Alligator mississippiensis: one gene and its partner. The protein of the gene in region 1 purifies or fractionates together with the protein of each later gene. This does not show direct contact. Links are inferred from orthologs where the notes say so. Each region holds a gene or a part of one and is shown on either strand. Other genes may lie near its edges. The genes, in order: RNF13 and AP3D1.

The links.
Region 2: the proteins of RNF13 (region 1) and AP3D1 purify together in Homo sapiens (affinity purification with mass spectrometry; 3 studies listed by BioGRID and IntAct, counting the BioPlex papers as one, with this or other methods). This does not show direct contact. The link is inferred for Alligator mississippiensis from reciprocal best matches to the Homo sapiens genes RNF13 and AP3D1.

The regions. Positions count from the first base shown.
Region 1 is NC_081830.1:61,457,517-61,468,573, forward strand, and holds the start of RNF13 (E3 ubiquitin-protein ligase RNF13), read left to right. Parts: upstream 1-6,368; 5' UTR 6,369-6,499; intron 6,500-11,057. UniProt on the Homo sapiens protein: E3 ubiquitin-protein ligase that regulates cell proliferation. Involved in apoptosis regulation. Mediates ER stress-induced activation of JNK signaling pathway and apoptosis by promoting ERN1 activation and splicing of XBP1 mRNA.
Region 2 is NC_081839.1:7,180,261-7,191,406, reverse strand, and holds the start of AP3D1 (AP-3 complex subunit delta-1), read right to left. Parts: upstream 5,286-11,146; 5' UTR 5,069-5,285; coding exon 4,973-5,068; intron 1-4,972. UniProt on the Homo sapiens protein: Part of the AP-3 complex, an adaptor-related complex which is not clathrin-associated. The complex is associated with the Golgi region as well as more peripheral structures.

The DNA of each region.
Region 1 (11,057 bases):
AGGGAAGTGGTGCTTGCCCCTACCCTGGGGGTCTTCAAAGGAGGCTAGACAGCCACCTAGCTGGGGTCATTTGACCCCAGCATCCTTTCCTGCCCATGGCAGGGGGTTGGACTAGATAATCTGCTTAGGTCTCTTTCGACCCTACCAGCTATGAAACTATGAATCCCATGCACCAGCACAGGCTGGGGGCTGCCTGGCTAAGCAGCAGCTCTGCAGAAATGGCCTTGGGGGTTACAGTGAACATTAAGCTGAATATGGGCCAACAGTGTGCCCTTGCTGCCAGGAAGGCTAACAGCATACTTGGAGGCGTCAGTAGGTCTGTTGCCAGCAGGTCAAGGGAAGTGATTATTCCGCTCTATTCAGCACTGGTGAAGCCACATCTGGAGTACTGTGATCAGTTTTGGACCCCCACTACAGAAAGGATGTGGACAAATTGGAGAGAGTCCAGTGGAGGGCAACAAAAATGGCAAGGGGGCTGGGGCACATGACTTCTCAGAAGAGGCTGAGGGAACTGGGCTTGTTTAGTTTGGAGAAGAGAAGACTGAGAAGGGATTTAAGAGCAGCCTTCAACTGCCTGCGGGATCAAACAGGTTACAGCCTTGGGCCCCTGTGGGATCAAATAGGGCAGCTGATATCCAACACCCAAGAAAAGGCCAATCTCTTAAATGACTTTTGCATTGGTTTTTCACCCTCCCACAGGGATCACACTGTCAGAAAGGACACGGACCAGACTGGGAGTGGGTGGCAGGCTCAAAATTTAAGTGGATCGGGTAAAGGAAAACCTTGAGAATCTGGATATTCACAAGTCCGCGGACCCCGACGGAATGAACCTGAGAGTCTTGAAGGAGCTGGCAGACATCATTGCACCCCCTTTGGCAAAGATATTTGAAAATTCATGGTGCTCGGACGAGGTCCTGGAAGACTGGAAAAGAGCCAATATAGTCCCTATTTTCAAGGAAGGGAGGAGGGATGACCAGGGGAATTATAAACCAATCAGTCCATCCCTGGAAAAATCCTGGGGAAAATTGTCAAGGGATCCATCAACACCAGACTAGCAGAAGGCAAGCTTCTGAAGGCCAGCCAACATGGCTTTGTGACTGGCAGGTCTTGCCTGACCAAACTCATCTCCTTCTCTGACAAGGTGACATGAGCCCTGGACAAAGGAGATGATGTGGATGTCATATATCTGGATTTCAAGAAAGCCTTTGACCTAGTTCCCCATGATGTCCTCCTGGCTAAGCTGGGGAACTGTGGCCTTGATCATCTTATGGTCTGATGGCTAGGCAACTGGCTATAGGGTTGGACCCAAAGAGTACTAGTTGACAGGAGCAAATCAACGTGGCACAGGGTGACCAGTGGAGTCCCTCAGGGCTCGGTACTTGGGCCGGTACTCTTTATCATCTTCATTAATGATTTGGAGTCGGGAGTCAGATGTGAATTGGCCAAGTTTGTGGACGACACCAAATTATGGGGAAGGGTGGTCACACTGTAGGACATGCTGGGGATACAGGTTGACCTGGGGACACTCTCAAGGTGAGCTGACCAAAACTGGATGGCCTTCAATGTTGAGAAGTGTAAGGTGCTGCACCTTGGTAGGAAGAACCCTCTACACACTTACAAGCTCGGCAGTGCTACGCTCACTAGCGCCACGACCGAAAGAGACTTGGGGGTCCTGATTGACCACAAGATTAATACGAGTCACCAATGCAATGCTGTGGTTGGCAAAGCAAACCAAACTCTGGCGTGCATCTACCAATGCATCTCAAGCAAAACCAGGGATGTCATCCTCTTGCTTTACTTGGTCTTGGTGAGGCCACAGCTAGAGTACTGCATCCAGTTTTGGGCCCCCCACTTCAGGAGGGATGTGGAAAAGCTTGAGAGAGTCCAGAGGAGAGCCACTGGTATGATCCAAGGCCTGGAGGGCAGGACGTATAAGGAGAGGCTGAGGGATTTGGGACTTTTCAGTCTGGAAAAGAGAAGGCTCAGGGGGGACTTGGTAGCAGCCTACAATTATATGAGGGGTACATCAGGACCTGGGAGAGCAGCTGTTCGTCAGAGCTCCCCAAGGGATAACAAGGTCTAATGGCCATACACTCCAGGAAGGCTGATTTTTGACTAGACATAAGAAAAAATTCTTTACAGTGCGAGTGTCCAGGGTCTGAAACAGACTCCCCCCCCAGAGGTGGTGCAAGTACCTACTCTGGACTTTTTAAAAAAAAATCTGGATATTTTTCTTGCTGGGGTCACTTGATCCCAGCTGACTTCCTGCCTATTGTGGCGGGGCTGGACTCAATGATCTCACGAGGTCCCTTCCAGCCCCTAATGTCTATGAATCTATGAATGCATGAAGGGAGGTTTGAATGAGGATGGAGCTAGACTGTTCTCAGTGGTGGCAGATGACAGTACAAGGAGAAATGGTCTCAAGTTGCAGCAAGGGAAGTTTAGGTTAGATATTAGGAAGAATTTTCTTACTACGAGGGTAGTAAAACAATAGAACAGGTTACCCAGAGAGGTGGTGGAAGCTCTATTCTTGGATGTTTTCAAGTCCCAGCTGGGATGATCTAGTTGGGGATGGTTCTGCTTTGAGCAGGGAGTTGGACTAGATGATCTCCTGAGGTCCTTTCGAACCTTAATTTTCTATGATTACTAGGGGTGCTGCATATATCTATATCTATAGATCTGTACCTACAGATCTATATATATGCGGTAACCCTAGTAATCACCAGAATCATTTCAGCCTGGCCAACCTGTTTGCTTTGAACCATGTGACTATTTGAAAAAGCACAGGGGAATATAAAATAAGCATTGCAAAGAAAAAAAATCTAACTCAAATGGGGAATGGAAACAAACAGTGACCTACAAGAAGATGCACAAATGTTATTTACCTAAATGGAATATGGAATTTGTGGGAGCAGGTGACATGATTTTCTCAGTGGCCCATGAGTATGAAATTTACTGTGTCTGGAAAGCATGCAATTTACCATCATTTAAAATTTGTTAAAGGCCCTTTTCTAGCAGTTATTCAGTCACTCAGAAACTTTGCAGCTGGTTGAAGAAAGAAGGCAGACCTTTAGAGCATATAAACAAAAGCATATTCTAGCTGTATTAGATATTTATTACTTTTCAAAAAACAACCAAAACATAGGTTTATAAAATAAACCAAGACATGAAATCAGTTGTCTTATATATTCCAGGAAAACTTATTAGCACAAACTGTCTCCTCTTAATCTTTGGGAACAAAGCTATTTATACATCCTTCTCAGATGACCTTGCAAGGACTACAAACATGGCTGCTAGGAAGGATTTGATTTTCCAACAACTTGGCTGTCCTTAATTTCATACAGAGACTGGAAGGGAAATATTATGAACCAGCCTTGTCTCACTACTGAGGGGGAGATGGGACCCCTGCCTATGGAACTTCACCTTTGGGCTCTAAAACTAGAGTCAGCACTGAACTTCTGTACATATCTCAAGCGTGGGTTTCCTGAGCTCTTTTTTAATTCTCACTGATATATGTTGTTCTAGGAAAACCTTCCCAGTTTTAGGAAAACCACAAGCCTACAACATATGCCTTAAACAGTCAGTACAGTCCCTTACATCAGGGGGATGGCAAACGTACTCATAGGTTTCTGTTCTATGGTATATATTCCCATGTTTTCTTACATTTCCCTTTTCTGCTCAGAGGGAAGATATGCTTAAATGATAGTTAAGAAACCTAACGTTCTGGTTGTGGGAGGAAGTGCCAGCTTTTCATGCACAATCACAGGTCTTTAATCCTTATGTGCATTTGAGAATTTCTCTCTTGAAACCCTATAGAGAAGAGAGAGAACTTCTGTTATTAAGATCTTGCCTGGATTAACCTATTCTTAAAATGCTGTGAAGAACCCTCTCAGCCACCAGGTACTATGCCCCAAAACACCAAGAACCACTTAACTCACAACAGGTAAAGCAGAGGAATGAGGGCACTTGCAATGTCTTGCTGCTGCAAGAATGGGACATAGTTGTTAAAATACACTTGAGGTATCAGAGGAGGAGCACCAGGTCCCCTCCTACTATAGAGGAAGGCAAAATCCGCTTGACCATTCTCTCCAAAATAGAGTCTAAGAGAGAACTAAGTTATGCTAGGTAAGATAAAGGTAGTCTATCTAGTCCAGCCCCTTCCTCAAGGCAAGATCATCCCAACTAAATCATGGTAGCCAAGTGTCTGTCTAACTTGCTGTTTAAAACTTTCAAGCATGGAGATTTCAGTTTCTACAGGTAGTCTGTTGCAATGCTTGACCACCCTCATCATCAGAAAGTTCTCCAACCTAAATTTCCCCTGCTGCAGCTTGAGGTCACTGCTGCTAGTCCTGCACACCACAGCCACAGGGAAGAGCCCATCTCCATCCGCTTTGTAATTACAATTCAAGTATCTGAAGTTTGTTATCTTCCCTTTCAGTCTTCTCTTCTCCAGGCTAAATAATCTGTTTTTTCAGCCTTTGTTCATAAGTCTTGCCTCCCACGCCCCTAATGACTGTTCTCCAGTGGACTCTTTCCAAACAGTCCATGTGGTTCTGGAAGTGTGGGGCCCGAAACCAGAAACAGGACTCCAAGTGACGCCTCCCCAGTGCTGAACAGAGAGGAAGAATCAATTCCCTTGATTTGCAAGTGGCATTCCAGTTAATACCACCCACCGTGCTGCTTTTTTTTCTTTTGCAACAAGGCCACACTGTTGGCTCATATTTAGCAAATGAGTCACTGTAAACCCACAGATCCTTCTCTGCAGTACTGCAGAGTAGTCAGTTGCCCCCTGGCCTGTATTTGTGTGTGCCGTGCAGTGATTCCATCTAAAGTGCAGGACTTTGCTCTTATCCTTGTTAAATCTCATCTGATTGATTGCAGACCATAGGTGATAAGGCAGTGCTCTGCCCCGCCCCCCCCTTCTGTTGCCTAAGCAGAGAGCATGTTGTGGACGGTTTGTCTAGTCTATCCAGGTCATTCTAGATCACTGGTTCTCAGCCTTTTGACTCAAGGCACGCCTCATCAGCCATGAAGACCCCACTTCCTAATGGTTGTGAACTGAGCAGCACTGCTTCACAAACTGATGTATTACAGTGCTGAGCTCCTTGCAGAAGGGGCCAGGAACCGGGGGCTAGGGGAGCAGCTAGACAAGGAGAGCCTAAACCTACTCTGATCTGCTTATTCCTTCATGCCCTGCTTACCTCCCTATGCTTTGAGGCACCCTTCAGAGGATTTCACACACCCAGGGTGCCTCAGTGCCCTGGTTGAGAATTACATAATTCATCATGCTCAGCCTCTTGCTCTGTGCTGGGCATTACATAGACAAGAACCACCCCCACGTTTCTATGGCAGACTGTGCTGGGGAACCCAGAGGCTGATGGTACAAGCAGTCCTTGGACTTACGACACAACTGGTTCCTGAAAACTGCATCTTAAATCCAAACATTGTAACTCGGAACTGATTTTCCCATAGGAGCAATGTTATAAATGGGGGATTGGTTCCTGAACCAAGGCCCGATACCCTTTTTGCACCAAAAGTAACCCAGAATTTTGTACTCGACCAATTATAGATGAGTAATATAGGTACAATAATGCATTTATATTGTAAATAGCAATCATATTGATTTGCAAGGACTTCTTTGAGGTGACTGCTGGACTTTTTGAAGGGCTCTTGGCTGGAGTCTTCTCAGGTGTCTTGGCTGCAGGTTTTTCAGGAGCCTTGTCTGCTTTCTTAAAGAAAGCATCCAAGAAAGTTTGGACAGATGTTCTCCAGGGAGACTGGCGACACAGAGAACTTGTTCACTGGCGTGGCATCACATCAAGCGTTGTGAAGTTGAAACCCCGATGTCAGAAAGTCAAAACAGGGTGGAAAGTTATAAACGTCTCAAGTGCTGTTCATTGTAACTCGAAACGTCTGCCTGTACGGGTTCCTTTGAGAGTGAGGGGCTCCCAGGGGTGGCAATTACTCCTGCACGCCCTGCCTCCTGCCACCACAGAGGGGCGGGAGCGCGGGTGACGGAAGAACCCCACGGGTCTGGGCACAAGCCAGGTGACAGCACGGGCAACTCCCACCACGAGGCCTGCAGCTGCCCGCGGGGCGCGGAGGCGAGTCCCGCACGGCCAGCCCTGTGGAGCGGAAGCGGGGAGACACCACTCGGCACCACCGCCCCTCCCCCAGCGCGCAGCAACGCACGGCCGTACCGTCACAGACGGCGCCGAGCAACCGAACAAACGGCCGAGGGGAGCCGTTGGGCGGAGCCAGCCCCGGCCCCTCCCCTCAGCTCGCTCCGGCCCGGCCCGGCCCCTGCGGCGTCACGTGGGCGCGCTGGGCCGCCGAGTGACAGGCGCGGGGGGCGGTGGCCTCTCCGCTCAGCCTGCGCACGGCCGGGGCGGGGTTTGCGCAGCGCAGCGTAGCGCAGCTCAGCGGCCTGGCCGCTGTGGGCGCAGGGGCATGGAGTCGGCCTAGGCTGTGTCCTGCTCGTCCCCGCGCGAGCGACCAGGTAAGCGCTGCCTTCCCCCCGCCCTGCGCCCCCGTCTCGCACCGCGCGGACCGGGGGGCCCGGCCCGACTCGACTCCCCGCTCAAAGCAGAACCTGCTGCGGCTCCGCCCGGGCCCGGCGGCGGCGGCGGTGGTGTGTCGGGGCGCACGTCCGTGGCCTGCGCTTGGGGCCGCCTGTGCTGCCGGGCAGCGCGTACAGGCAGGGGCCGGGCTGGAGAGGGCGGCCGCAGGGACCGACCCCGCCGCGTTCCCTCTATGCGGTGCCTGCCTCTGCCCTTCGGGACCCTTCAGCTGCGTCTTCGTCCCCCGGCCGGGCCACTTTCCCCTCCACAGCTTTAAGTGGGGACCAGGAGTCACCTGGAAACTCCGTGTTTCCCAGGGTTTTCCTCCGGCTTGCCGGGGGCAGCTGTGTTGCAGAGCTGTTCGCTGTGTGGCCGGGCGAGTCTGAACTCTTGCAAATCGCCTGAAGTTGGGGACATTGGGGCAGGGCCGAATTGGTCGATTGCTGCAGGTGCCTTTGACAGGTTCATGTGATGCTGTCAGGGCAGCTAGGAGCTGGAACCAACTTTTAAGGAAAGTGGTGCTTGCCCCTACCCTGGGGGGGTCTCCAAAAAGAGGTGAGACAGCCACCTAGCTGGGGTCATTTGACCCCAGCATCCTTTCCTGCCCATGGCAGGGCATCAGACTAGATGATCTGATCAGGTGCTTTCTGATCCTACCAACTCTGAAACGATGATGTGTACATGTGCCGTCCTAGTTGGCGTCCTTTCCCACTGGAGGTCTGCGCTCACTTCTCTGCTAAAATGAGGTTCACAGGATTTGAAGGGAGGCTTCTTAGTGTGGCTGACATTTTAACAGAGGAACTGTTTCAGAGAGACCACCTTCCTTCACCCATAATCTAGCACCTTTTTACTCTCTTGAAGTGTCTGCAGACATTTCCACCCTGTTAACAACCCATCACTTTCCTGTAGCAATGGCAGCAACACAGGTTTCTGTCTTTTGTAAGCGCTGGTGTCAGAAGTTCCTTATGCAGTGCAGCCAAAACTGTCCATTTCATTTGCTCAGTCCCAGTGCAGACATCTTCCTCTCTCTTATATGTAGATCATGGTTATAAGCTCCATTTTTAGTAACCTGGTCTCTGCCTCAGACTTCTCAATTTTCAGTAGAAGCCATTTCTGAGAACAAGGTTTGAGGAAAAATAGGCTGCTTTTCTAAAGTTACAAACAATTTCTTGGAGGTAGCTCATTGTCACCAGGGGCATGGGCTTAACAGTTAGTGCTAAGGAGTTAGTGCTTTGAGTAAGGAGCCTCTTACAACATGCTCAAATGTGGCTGTTATAACAACTCACTGACAGCTCACTGTTTTGCCCGGGCTCACTGGAGCTTTGTCAGAAGCTTGCAGCTGCAATCTATCAACATTCCCCTTGCACTGAGTAAGTCCCGGTCCCAGGAAGTGCCTAATTGCCATCTCCTGTGGATGTACTCCCAGGGCCCATGCAGCCTCTTACTCTAGTAGGCATAAAATTAGTGTTGTGGACAGGACCTGTATATAGTAGTAGCAAGCAGCAACACTGCCCTTCCCTCTGGCCTCAGAAGGGATGCTGGGCTTAGAGCCACGCGACTGATATTAAAAAGTCTGTTTACTTTGTAGTCGTTTTTGAACAAAGCTTTATACCGTACCTCTAAATTGAGCGTGATGGAACGATTTTTCCGTTTTACAGTTGAGGTAACAGAGATTGTATACATTTACTTTTGATAGAACTGAAAATAGAACCCAGTCACTAATATTGTCGAATGGTTGTAAACACTGCAAGGCTGTTTCAGGTTGGACATAAGGAAGAATTTCTTTACTGTCCAAGCCCCCAAGGTCTGGAATAGCCTGCCATTGGAGGTGGTTCAAGCACTTACATTGAACACCTTCAAGCGTAAATTGGATGCTTATCTTGCTGGGATCCTATGACCCTAGCTGACTTCCTGCCCTTCGGGCGGGGGGCTGGACTCGATGATCTTCCAAGGTCCCTTCCAGCTAAGCTGTGTTTTCTGTAATGGCCCACAGTCCAGAGCCAGGAGCAGAACCCAGGAATCCTGTTTCACAAACTTCTGCTGGTGCTGTGGATCTTAATGCTCCAGCTCTGCAGATGATCCAGGGGGGTGAATATGTAGGAGACAAGACTGGAAGGACTTCCTGTGTCAGTAAGGCCAGGTCACTGCTGTAATAGGTAACCAACTAATATATTCCCTTTCATAAACTGAGCAATCTCCATCTTTGAGCTAGTTAGATTTTTGTCCTCACTGCTTCCACTGGAAGGCTGCTCCTGCTCTGCACTGCACTGATTAGAAACCTTTTAAATTCCAGGCTAAATTTATTCATGATACCCATTTGTTCATATTCCAGTATTGCTCTTTAGCTTAGAGTAGGGCTGTCAAACTTCTAAGTGTCTGGCAAGCCACACATTTCTCAGGCCTCACTAGCAGGGTCCGTGCCAGTGGGGGCCTTGGGCCCCAAAGATTGCGTGCCCTGTCCTCCGTCACTGGACCACGAGTACTTTTGCTGCTGCTTTCTGCATCCTACCCCCCCAAGCACATCTATTGTTGCACTGTCTTTAGAGTCTCCTTGCTTCACCATTTGCCTGGGTTTACCTCCTCATCCTGCTGTACCATCTGCTTGGGTGCCCCCTACACTGCACCATGCATCCCCTGCTGCTGTTCCTCATCCACCCTGCTACACTGTACACCCTGTGCCACTGATGCTAGACCCCACACCTCCACTGCACCTCATGCCCTGACTTGCCTTTGCTGTGAACTCTCCCAATGCACCATGACACTGGCACCTCAGGCTGCAGGATTTCCTGGCACAGAAGTCTGTGCCATCCTGTGCTACCCTGCCCCCTTGGGCAGGGGCAGGGAGAACATGGAGCCCCCAACTGGTGCTGCAACCAGAGCAGTGGGGAAGAATGGTGGCCAGATGGGAGCCCAAGGGGCCACAGTTTAAACCCTCATGGGCTGCATGTGGCCTGTGGGCTGCTAGGTGGGCAGCCCTGGCTTAAAGAGTTCTTTTCCCCCTCTGGTGTGTCCCTCCTTTTGCCCAGCTTTATTTGTGGAACATCATTGCATCTCCTTCAGCCTTCAGTTTTGTAGGCTAAACAAGACAAGCTGTTTTTAGCTTTCTTTTGCAAGATAGGTTCTCCATTCCCCAGGCCATATAGTAGCCTTGTTCTGTGCCAGTTCCGTTTGAGTTCATCTTTCTTAAATGTGGATGACTAGAACTGTATGTTATGTTTCAGATAAATTCTGACAGGACAATGGCATTAATACTTCCTTAGTTTTATTAGCAGTATTTTACCTGATAGATTCTGGGGTCACTTTTGCTATTGTTTCATGCAGCTTCACTTTGGTAGTCATAGTCATCCTGTGATGGCAGTGCACGTAGGTCTTTCTCCTCCTTAGTTCTCTAGCTGATGAGCTCCTAATTTATAGGAAAAACTGTTACGATTAGGATCTAACTGCAAAGGATGTAATTCTGCGTAATGGAACCACTGACTTTTCAATCTACTTTAAAAAAAATAAACCTAGGAAAATGCATTTAAAAATAACCTTAAAGAAAGATTAACATTACTAAATCTAACACTCAGAAGTTAGAAAATTCTAGAATTACTGTTTCGTGGTATGCTTTGTTTCGCCTCTTTGGTTATGTCCAGATGAGTGTGGCCATGTGGGACGTGGTGCCACAGACACGTCTGCGGTACTACTTACCGCATGTTCTGTTGTTCTCTGTGTTGCAAGAGAGCAGTGCAGAAGGTTTTTTTGACCCCTGAAAAACCTGCAGAGAAAAAAAGTGGAGCTGTGCATATGGCAACAGCGTGTGCTGCCCAAAGCTGGAGCCTGGTTGGCTGGAGCTGTGCTCCGCTGCCGGTCAGCCCCCATCCAGTAGGATCACCACTGCTGCAGCCCTGGGTGGCCTCCAGGACCCCACGTAAGTCTTCTGGGGCCAGCCCAGTGCTGGCCCCAGCCTCCCCTTCGCCACCTTGGGTAACTTGCTGCGCGCCAATGTGCACATGGCACAGGCATTCCCTGAGAACAACTAGCGGCAGCACAGGGTGTTCTGCTGCTAGTTGTCCCCGGGGACAAAATGTCCACGCGTGTCTGGACGCGGCCTTTAAGTTTATGCATTATGACTGTGTAATAAAAAATTGTGCCATATATATGAAGCATGTCACATCCAATTAATAGGATAGACAGTGATTGAAGGTAGGAATTCCAGGAATGAAAGACAGTAGAGTTGGAGTGTTTTCTGACTGTAGGAATTAGGAAGCACATTCTTTTGTGCTTTGAGAACAATATTGTGGTCTGGAAATTAATTCTGCTTGTTGCTAGACAAGAAAAGATTTCCTTATGCATGTTAAGACCAAGTAAAGTTTCAGTCCTGTTATTTCCGAACTTTGAGTGCTTGACTTCTCGGTTTTAACATGTATTTTTACATATAAAGAACTAGTATTTTTTTTAAATGTCTGCTCTTTCACATTTAATTTTTGAACTTTTCTTTTGAGCTGGAAGAGAAGT
Region 2 (11,146 bases), on another chromosome or scaffold:
AGTACTAGACAATACTTGCCTCAAAGGGACTAATAAGAGTGTAAAAATCTATGCAAGAGCTAAATAATATTGTTTTTTAAAAGGCTTCCTGCTCAGCAGACTCCAGATACAGAACCACGTGTCTGGAATAATTAGGTCCCTATTATGATGGCCCAGAACAGGCACACGATACACTTGCATCGTATGTTTTTGTCGCAGATCAATTCCACGTCTCCTGTTAATCAGGTGTACTGCAAGTGCACACAAAACAGAAACCTACTGTGAGAACTTACTCTGTATACCATAAAGGTTACCTAGCAAAGAGTACCACAAAGTTTTATTCTAGCCACAACTTCTACTTGAAGAACACGTTTCCTAAATGAGCCAAGAGAGGCCGAAAGGACGTGAAGACAGAACAGGGCAGGTTATTTGCCTTCCCTGTTTGCAGGTCTTCTTTTTCCTAAAATGCTGTACTGGTAAAACAGAAAAACTGCAGGGATTAGAACATAGCTGCATATATTCCTTAAAAGTAAAGCTGACCTGCTGAACTAGCAAAGTGTCTAATACCTTTATGCCACCTCATCCCAGCACAGGGGGGAAAAATCGTGCTGTTGCAATAAGTTGCTCAAGAGTCTCCAGAGTAGCCATTGATTTGGGGTATGTCTTCACTGCAGAGGTAGCTCAGGCTATGACTTGGGTGCTGCCCCCCTCCCTTATTCAAATACAAAAACCACACACCTGAATTTGGTGGTATTGTAAGCCCAAGCTACCTGGCTTGGCTTTGGACAAAGCCTAGAACTCAAGGACTGTTTGCATTTCAGGAGAGAGCCACCCCCTTTGTAACTAGGATGTAGGGTTATCACAGGAGTGCCGACAGCCCTCCCAAACCTTCCCACAACTTCTCCCCCTGCCCAGGACAGATGCTCTCACTGGGAAATAATCAATACCTCAGTTTCTTGCAGGATAAAGCACCATGTAGTGTGCTCATAAACGCACTAGCAATACCAGGTGAATGTGGTATTAATGAGAACACAATAACTCAAGCCCAACTACAGTGGGGCTGCTCACACCCAGATGTGAGTGCCAATCTCCCAAGCTAACCCTGCAGTGAAAACGTATCCTTGGTGTTTGTCAGGGGAACAGAGATACTAGTTTAATTAGCCTGTGTGAGTGATGGCAGATGACAGCTCCTGCAAAATGCGGAGCTGCCCTAGTCAAAGAAAGGAGCTAATGAGGTTTATTTTAACCAGAAGATGCTGTGCAGCCTGACAAGAAAAAAAAAAAAAATGTGGTTTCCTGGCATTTCAGTAGATTGATCTTAAAGGTAACTCGTTCTCTAGAAGGTAAGTATCAGTGCACATAATAGAAGTTAACAAAGAAAGGATTGTGCTATAGAAAGTATATCGAAGCACTCAGATAACAGCCAAGACAATTCCTTCATTTCATTCAGATATTTTTATTTAACATCCGCAGTACGCTCTGCACAGAAGTTGCTAATTCATGGAAAGACGAAGACAGGCGGAAATGTAACCAGCCCCACAACATTCTCTTGCAAACTTCACCAAAGTTTTCCTTACATATTTAAAATAAAATGACTCCAACTTTAGGAAGTAGCTGGCTGGTAACAGTTTGCTATTACACAGGTCCTGCTTTGGCAGAACTGGAGGAAAATAACATGATGCCAGTCATTAATGCTACACAATGAAGGCAGAGGGAATCTAAGCTCTGAAAGCCTTTCAATTCTAATAGAAGCACTTTCATGTTCCTGCTCAAAGCAGTGAGAAGCCTGCTCAGGGGAACAGCCAGTATGTCAGTTCTCCTAAGTTTTGCATCTCACTGAAAAGTAATGAGATAAGTAAAGCCCAAATAACCGAGCAGGGCATACTTAGTTCAAAATACTGTATGGAAACCCATGAAACTGGCTTCTAAAAACAAAACAGCTTTATCAAGCAGGACAGCAGATAGAAAGATCTCTTATGTTGAATGATGAAGTCATACTTGCTAGACATTTTTTAAAGGGGTCACTGCCTAACATCTCTTTTCATGGTTGCCACTGGTACAGTACTACTCCCAGTGCAAATAGGGGCTTAAGTTATGACTGAGATTTTTGAAGCTTGTTTAATACAGGCAATTAACTCCCAATGATGTTCCAAGAGATCTGGATGCCTAAGCTCTAGTCTTGCAAAAGCATGATGTAAAACCATGAAGAAATCTCTTCAGTCCCCGCAGAGCAAGACCTAGTGAACTCCATTTCTAGGGAGTTTTGTCCAGCAGTATTTTAGTAAAGAAAGTTTAATGGTCCCATGCATTATGATTAGTACAGACAGCCTGACTTTAGACAAACCTGCACAAAGAAAGAAGGAAAAGCCATTTTAAAATATTTCCTTACTTTTTCTACATAAAGACTTTTGCTAACATATCCTACCAGTTCTGCCCCTAAATAGCAGCAACAGTCAGAAGACAAGTAATGAAAAATGTTAGATGGAAAAAATCCTAGACAAGGCCAAGAAATTACCTCTATTTATAAAGCTAAATGTTATCAAACAGCAAATACAATGACTGACAGTGTTTTGGAGAGATTCAATCTTCAATCTGACCTTTAGACTAGGAGTTTTGAGACAAGACAGTCTTATGATTTACCACTAGACTTATCAGTGTCTCAGGGATACTTCCTAAAACTTTATAAATAAAGGAAGAGCCTTCATGGCTACTATTATTAAATTTAGATTACATTGCATTGTCACCTAAATACTGAAAATCACTCATATCACTGCCAGTTGTGAAACTTTGTTTCAGTCCCTAGCATTTGAGCCCCACTTAGCTTTGGGTAAAACTGTTCTAAAATCACCTGAAGTGGGAGAAGGAAGACAAAATGCTTTGCACTGTTCAGCCCAGAGTTACGGAATGATTATGTAGCATCTTTAACAGTGTCCAAAGGAAGCATATATTATGGAGGATACACAAAGAAACACAGTACCATTAAGAAACACACAATTCAACTGATCATGCATCCACACAACATATGTGGCTTTATACTGAACGCACAGATGCCAGTGAAAGGAGTTACTTGCCAAATATTTATTTCAGAACTGAAAACAATACTCAGTCCTGCCATAAAGTCTTGGGCAGTGTTTTTTGACTTTTATGTTAAAAAACAAAAAAAGGCTCCCCTTGGCAAATACCAGCTCTTAACTTTCACTTGTTTCTTGAGTCCAGAAAAAAAGAAGCAATTCTTCTGTTGCAAAGAACTCAGAAGACCACAACAGATGAGGATGTTTCTGACATTGTGGATTCCTATCTGAAATCTCTGGGTTTATCTGGTGCATCAGATGTAGGCGTCTGCATGCTTAACAGTTTTAATATTATGCAGCACCACAGAATCTGCAACACCCTGGTTGAGAATCACTGGCCTAGGGGCAGCATCAGGATCCTACGAGCTTTCAGACTATCCCCCCAGAGCTAAGAGAAAAATTTACAGTGCATATATAGTATACAGTGCTCAGTACCTTACTGGGCCTAACTATACACTAGGACATTGAAATCCACACAGAATTAGACAAGCACCTGCTGTATATCTTCAATTTTGAATGGAATAACAAAGGCTCAACGAACTGGAGCTAGACTGTTTTCAGTGGTGACAGATGACAGACCAAGGAGCAAGGGGCTTAAGTTGCAGCAAGGGAGTTTTAGGTTGGATATTAGGAAAAGCTTCTCACTAGGAAGATGATTAAACACTGGAACACGTTACCTAGAGAGGTGGTGGCATCTCCATCCCTGGAGGTTTTTAAGGCCCAGACTGACAAAGCCCTGGCTGGGATGATGTAGTTGGGACTGGTCCTGCTTTGAGCAGGGGGTTGTGACCTCCAACCCTGATTTGCTACAATTTCTATAATGAACTGCACCAGCACAGTAAGGAGGTATGTGTTCACATAACATACTTTTAAATATATTTTTGACGTGATTTAATGAAAGCTGTTGCTTTCATTAAATCCAAGAGGTTGCTGGTTGTTTTGCTGTGAGGGGCTCTGCACAAAAAAACAGCTGTATCTTCTTACGCTATCAGTTCAATACCAAACAGCCTTTAAACTGCATTATGAAATGGAAATGTTCAGACGTAGACACCTCCGGTAGACACCGTCACACACTGTAACATATCAGCGTGTGACAATCAAGTCTGAAGCTATCTGAAAGTCAAACGTTTACGGAGAGGTATACCGCCTTTCATCCTGACAGCGGCAGCGAGGTAACAATATCCTACACAACCCAGCTGTAGTTTTCCCAACCGAAACATACGACTTACGAACACAACCTATGATTTGACTGCGTGTAAGCGACAGCTTTCCCACAGCCGAGACCACCTTGAGATTTCATTCTATCCTGATGTTACAACGAAACACTTCTGCCTTCCTCCCGCCGCTCCGGGACATCCCGAGCTCCCCGGCTAGACGCTCGTTCACGCGCCATCACTCAGGGAAACGCTTCACAAGAAACTTTCTAAAGCTACGTCTGGACTCCAGCGGCTTCCTCCGCATCCCGACCCCCACAATTCGACCGGACCATTTTCTTCTCCGATAAGCCCGTCCTCCGTGCCTCGTTCTTGGCTTTCCATCAGGCTCCCCCCCGCCCCAGACGGCTCATCAATAATCGACCAGAAAATATCGAGTGGTGACATCCAAGTCCTTTTCACCTTAAATCAACCGACGGACGGACGGACGGAGACCCGGGGGAGCGCGGCGAGGGGATACGACGGAAGCAGTTCAATTACACCTGAACCCATTTCCCTCAGGCGTCCACCTGCCCCCCACGCGCGGTCCCGGGGGTCTCCCGGGGACGAGGCTCCCCCTCACCACGGCCTTCTGCTGCCTTCCTCCTTTCCAGCGCGGCCTGCATCTTCCCCGCCAACATCCCCTTTCCCGCACCCGCCGGAGGGGGGGGCTGAGGCCTCCAGACACGGGCTGCAGAGGGGCCGGAGTCGGCCCCGGCCCCGGCTCACCTCGTCCTCCTTGTGGTTGCGGATGCCGCGCACCAGGTCCTGCAGGTTCTTGTCGAACATGCGGTCGATGCTGCCCTTCACCATCTTCAACGCCATCGCGGCGGCGCCGGGGCCTGCGCTCGGGCGGGGGGAGCCGGAGCCGGGCCCGGCCGGGGGTTGCTGCTGCTGCTGCCGGGTGTCTGCGGGCGGGGCGCTCACATCCCGGGCGCCGCCGGACGGCCCGAGCCCGCGGGGCGGAGGAGAGGCAGGAGGCGGCGGCGGGAAGCGCGGTGTCTAGCTGCAGGCTCCGCTCGGCCTCCGAAGCCCAACAAAATGGCGGCCGGTCAGCTGAAGCCTCGGCCCCGCCCCTCAGCCCTAGCCACACCCACTCCGCCCTTGCCCCGGCAGCCTTTTAGCCGGCCTCCATCCCCTGCGCCCTCTAGCCCCGCCCCTACGTCCTATAGCCCCGCCCCTTTTCCACGAAGGCAGGCGTCACTGTTCCCTCTGCCCCGTAGCCCCGCCCCCTGGGGAATCTGGCTTCCATGTCACGTGGCCGCCGGCGCCCGCGGGAGGTGGCACGTGATCGCTTGGAGGAACGCCCCGGCTTACGTGGCTGGGGGGGGGGGTTTGCTCACGTGACACCAGGGTTGTGGCGCGAAGCTGCAACCCCGGGGCAGTGACACCGTGCAGACGTGCGCCTGGAGCGCGTCCTCCCCAGCACGGGGCTGGGCCCCACAGAAAAGGAGCGCTGCCCAGGGGTTCCTGAGGAGAGACAGGCAGGGCAGGGCTCGGTCTGTTCCCTTGGGAAAAGAGACGCTGGAAGGGGCATGAGGGGCTTACAACAGTGGCTTCTTTGCTTGCTCCTGTGGCCATATGGCTGAGAGCAGGCGAAACTTGGGGGCATCTGAACCACCAGGCTAGGGCCTGCATGTAGGACGCTCGCCAAAAGATTTTGGAAATACATGAAGCCCCAGGTGGGAGTGGAGGATGTTTGCTAGTAGTAGGGCCACTTATGGCTCTGGACTGCCTCACGGATTTGGACTTGATTTGGATTGGAATATGAAAACATTCTTAAAAAGAAACCAGAAAAGTTCCCAAACTGGGGTTCACAACCCTGAATTCGGTGGCAACATCAGCAGATGGGGCTGTGGGTTGGGAGTAAGGGGGGTCATAAATGGGGTCATCTGAGGAAAAGCTTGGGCAACATTGGCTTCTCAACCTGGAATCACAGAAAAAGAGCAGAAAAAGACGTCAGGGGGTCGCATCTAGTCCAACCCCCAGCCCAAAGCAGGACCAGTCCCAACTGCATCACCCCAGACAAGGCTTTGTCTAGCTGGGTCTTCAAAATCTCCAAGGATGGAGACTCTGCCACCTCCCCCTTTGGTGTTTCACTTTCCTAGGGTGAGAGTTTTTCCTAATATCCAAACTAAATCTCCCTCGCTGCAACTTGAGCCCATTGCTCCTTATTCGGTCATCTGCCCCCACTGAGAACAGTCCAGCTCCATCCAAGTTGGACCTCCCCTTCAGGGAGGTGAAAGCTGCTATTAAATCCCCCCTCAGTCTTCTCTTCTCCAGGCTAAATAAGCCCAGTTCCCTCAGCCTCTGCTCACAAGTCATGTGCCCCAGCCCCCAAAACATTTTTGCTACCCTCTACTGGACTCTCCAATTTGTCCACATCCTTTTTGCAGTGGGGGGCCTAAAACTGGGTGCAGGACTCCAGATATGGCCTTACCAGTGCTGAATAAAGAAGAATAATCAATGCGCAAACATAACAGTGAAGAGAAAGTTCATATGGATTTAAAATTGATTCTCTCCCAAGACAAGAACAAAGAATCACAGCACAGAAGAGGAAGCAGTCCATTTAAAATAAACACAAGGCAGAATTTTTTCCACCCAGCGTGTCATTAAAGGGGGGAACCCATTGCCACCAGATGTGGTGGAAGTTGACTATTGAGCCAGATTCTACGTGGACTTGGGTGCGTTCTTGGAGGAAAGGGGTATTAGTTGCTATTGAGGGGGTATGACCTCTGAATCATAACTTCCTAGACTCTAAATGCTGGAAGCTGCAACTGAGAGAGGAACAATAGGAAAAACCTGTAGTCAGACGCAGACAAAACTCTTGGGCTAAAGGTGATATCTTTTATTAGACCAACTAAATAGCAGCAAAAAAAAATTCTTTGCAAGCTTTCGGGTCCAAACATCCTTCATCAGGCAGAGGGTAAAAGTTCTCCCAGGTAGAAAAGAAACTTCATGTTGCACAGGGGGGGTAAAGGGTGGTGTGGTTCCCCTGGCTTTCAAAGACCCTTTTTTTAAAAGTTGCTCTGTGAATATGCAGGTTAGGCAAGGACAAAGCTCCAGCAGGTTTCTTCCCTGGAGGTGTCAGATGGGGAGTTGAATTCTGCTTATTTCCTGTATAGCAATGGAGTTTACATTTCACTTTCAGCATCTCTTCTTTGCTGCTGTTGATACAGGAGACTGGGTTAGATGGACCTGCGGTCCCATGGGCTGTATATTTGACAACCCCTCTCCCAGTAAAGGATTACTCTTGCCCCCTTTCAAGTCAAAAGAAAAACTCATATTTATTTGAATGGGTGAGAAACAAGCCTTGGAGGATTGTGAAGGCTCTTGGTTGGCAGAGAATCTGTAGTGAATCCTCTAGGATGGTGCTTCTCAACCAGGTGCTACTAGATGTTTTAAAGGGTGCTGTGAGGTGTGAGGAGATAAGTGAGGTGTTAGGAGATAAGCAGATAATTAAGTAGATAAGCACAGGCTCAGGCTTGTTGCTGCCTGGATGATCCCCACCCATCCTCACTGCCAGATCCCTCTGCAAGGAAGTAAGCCCTGTAATCTGTAAATTAGTTTTTTAAATTCACTCAATTCACAAAAGTTATAGCGGGGTGCTTCAAGTCCAGTGAGGGGTGGCTCAAGTTCGAAAATGCAGAGAACCATTGCTTGAGGAAAGTCAGAATTCACATTCCTGAAGAACGTGACCTGAAGAAGAATGCATTGCATTAAAAGGGGTTTCTAAGTCTGCGCTAACCGTGCAGCTGGTCCAGTGAAAGATACCAGCCCCAAAAATCCGTTCCTGCTATTCCTAATATTTAACAATGTTGGGGATAAAATGAACCCAGTGTTTCTTTGGTTGTGTAGATCACAATTAAACATATAAACTGCAGACTACACAATTTAGGTGCAGAACTCAATCTGGGTTTCAAACGCCCCAAACTTTGAGTACCTAGGGGATTTGGTTCCTGTAAGAATTGGGCCATGGACTTTCCTATTTGCTTCAGCCCATTCTAAAGATCTGAGCCAGAACCAAAATCTTAGAGCCCTCCATCTCCAAACTTTGGAGGGCTTAAAATCTGCTTGGGAACAGCCTTAATTAAAACCCTAATCCTAACTGTAATCATTGTTATTTGTCAACATCCAAGGACCTTCACCTTCACAGCTCTGGATCACGTTGTACCCATCTAATGTTAGCACCGATGTTACGTTATAAATAATGTCACCTTCTGATTTTGCCGACATAACTTTTTAGCAAGCGTTCTCTGGAGATAAATGCAAGGCATTAATGCCAGTACAGTATCTCCTCCCACCTCCGTCCCATCCTCTTCATATTTCAGTTACAGGCTCCAGTATGAGCAATTCAACATTTGTAGGAAGACTCTGAGTCTTGCAGTTATAACTCAACGGAAAAAAATACCAAATGCATAATGAGTTCTGGTTTTCTATTTCTCAGGATAATGGGAACATCGAAAGTATGACAATTATAAATCATTAATTTTCTGATAGAGATGGGCCTGAGTTAGTGAATTTAGATCCCAATCCAGTTTTTTCCCCAAGTTCAGGAACATATGGCCTCCATCTTTTGGTTCAAGGCCGTATCTTATATTGTGTATGTAGTATGAAAATTCCACCTGGAAGATCAGATTGGATCTTAGCTTTAATTTAAATTAAACACCAGTCTTTAACAAATAAATAAATAACGCTCAGTTAAAGGCAAGAGGCAAATTATCCTGGCCTCTTGCATATTGCTTGGACTATCACACATATAACATCACTCTGACATTACCACTCAGTTAACTAAGTGATTTGAGCAAATAACTCATATATGATTTATTAAAACAAAGGATCAGATAAATTAGAAATAAGAAATTCACGTAAGAAAAGGCTGATGAGGTCTCAATTGGATTGGTTTGCAATATTTCAAATGTTGCTATTTTGATTTAGAAGTGGGGAAGGGAGGGGAATAGATATAGCTTCTGCTATAGTTTTCCCCATGTTTTGACCCATAGTCCCATATAATCCCTCTGTTCATCCAGTTCAAAATGATTCTCTATACTTTTCTATCTGGACCTTTCTCCAGTCTAGCTTAAAATGGACCGGATGACTTTATCAGTTATGTAAATTGATATCCCCACGTAACCTGATGTGCAAGAAAGAACATGAAAGCAGCAATATTAGGATTGAAGGTTAAAATGTGATCTTCCACAAAAGCTGCATTAGGGCTGTCATCCAACAAACCACTTAAACATGTGAGCAACTTTGGCAATGCAAGCAGACCCATGGCAGACAATAGGATTGCTCCCCTGCTTAGAGATGCACACATCCTTAAGTGCTTTGCTGGTCCAGTGCCTAATTCCTTTGATAGGCCCTATTGAAAAATGTGTTGTATGATCACCATGACATGGTTAATTTCTAAAAGTCTGCTGCTTCTAGGAACAGTGAGTGTCCAACTCTCTGAGGCAGTTGACACGTGGCAGATGTTAGTCTCACAGTTTACCCAGTACTGGAAGGTGCTCGGGTATTACAGTGAGGAGCGCAATATGCAAACTAGAAGAGAAGAGGTGATGGAACCTAGCACTAACCAAAGAGAGTTTCATTAACTCCTGAGGGCTCAGGTAGACATGCTGCTGTTACACAGGTGTCAGGCTTGGATAGAAGGGTTAAAAGAGGAAATAGTGCTTGGCTGAGGAGAGCAGACCTACAGCTGGGCCCAGGAACTGTCAGTCAGAGTCCCCCTGAAGAAAGGCATGACAGGTGTGGGACTGCTGCTGTTTTGAGTGGCTGCTGTCTGACGGAGCCTCTCCTTGAGCAAAGCAATTCTCTATGGAAGGTAGGCCAGCTTTTGAGACTTCTTTCGTTTTGTTCCTGAGGATTTGCCTGTGGTTGGACTGAGTGACGTCTGTCTGACAGGGGTGATAGGTAAACCCCCCTTGTCTCTCTGCTTCACACAGATGGCTTGGTAATTGTTTGCCATGAGACCTGGGGTGATGTAGGTCATACTGAACTTGCCTGCTGCTTGGCAATGGTCTATCTCAGGGGCGGGCAATTATTTTGTGCGGAGGGCCACTTGCCAAGTTTTGGCAATGTGTCAAGGGCCACATTTCCCTCTCCAGCACAAGGAAGCAGGAACAGCCCCACAGTCTCAGGCCAGAGTCCTGCGCTAGGCAGGGGCTTCTGGTTGTGGGGCAGAGCTAGATGGGCCTTGCTGCTGGGTCCTGCTGCCGGCTTCCTTTGTGTCCTGCTGCCCCAGACTTCTGTCATCTTTGACAGGCAGCCAGGAGCAAATAAATATTACATTTGCTAAATTTTTTAGGGTCCCCTGGGGCCGGATAGAATGGCCCGGTGGGCCGGATCCAGCCTCCGGGCCATATTTTGCCCACCCCTGGTATATCTGCATCCCTATGGTCTGCTGCCCCCAAACTCTCAACTACCATCAGCTACTTTCGTTTTATCTAACTCTGCTATAAACTGGGGAATAGTCATCTCCTGCACATGAGGAAACTGAGGCCTGGAGACCACGAGGTAGAACCACAAAGGGACAGATGTGCATGAGCCACAGTGCCTAACAGCAGAGAAAGAACTGACCCCTTTGGGTTGTTGCATGGCTAAGCCCATCTCCATTTTTATGAGTCGTACAGGAATAGACACAGATTTGCTGGTCTGCAAGAGACTGTGCAATAGGTTCTCATCATCAAGGGGACAGAAGCAAAGACTTACCTCTCCAAGATACTCCAACCCTACACCAGTGTAAATGAGATCTGAATATGGCTCAGTACATATTAGTAAGGAACAAACATGTTGAAAGCATTTTGTTCCTCCGGACAGCCTACTTCTTCAACCATTACTCACTGGAGCAGGCTGAATTTTTGAAGAAAGCTATACAAGCCCTTATCTTGGGTGGGGAAGGAT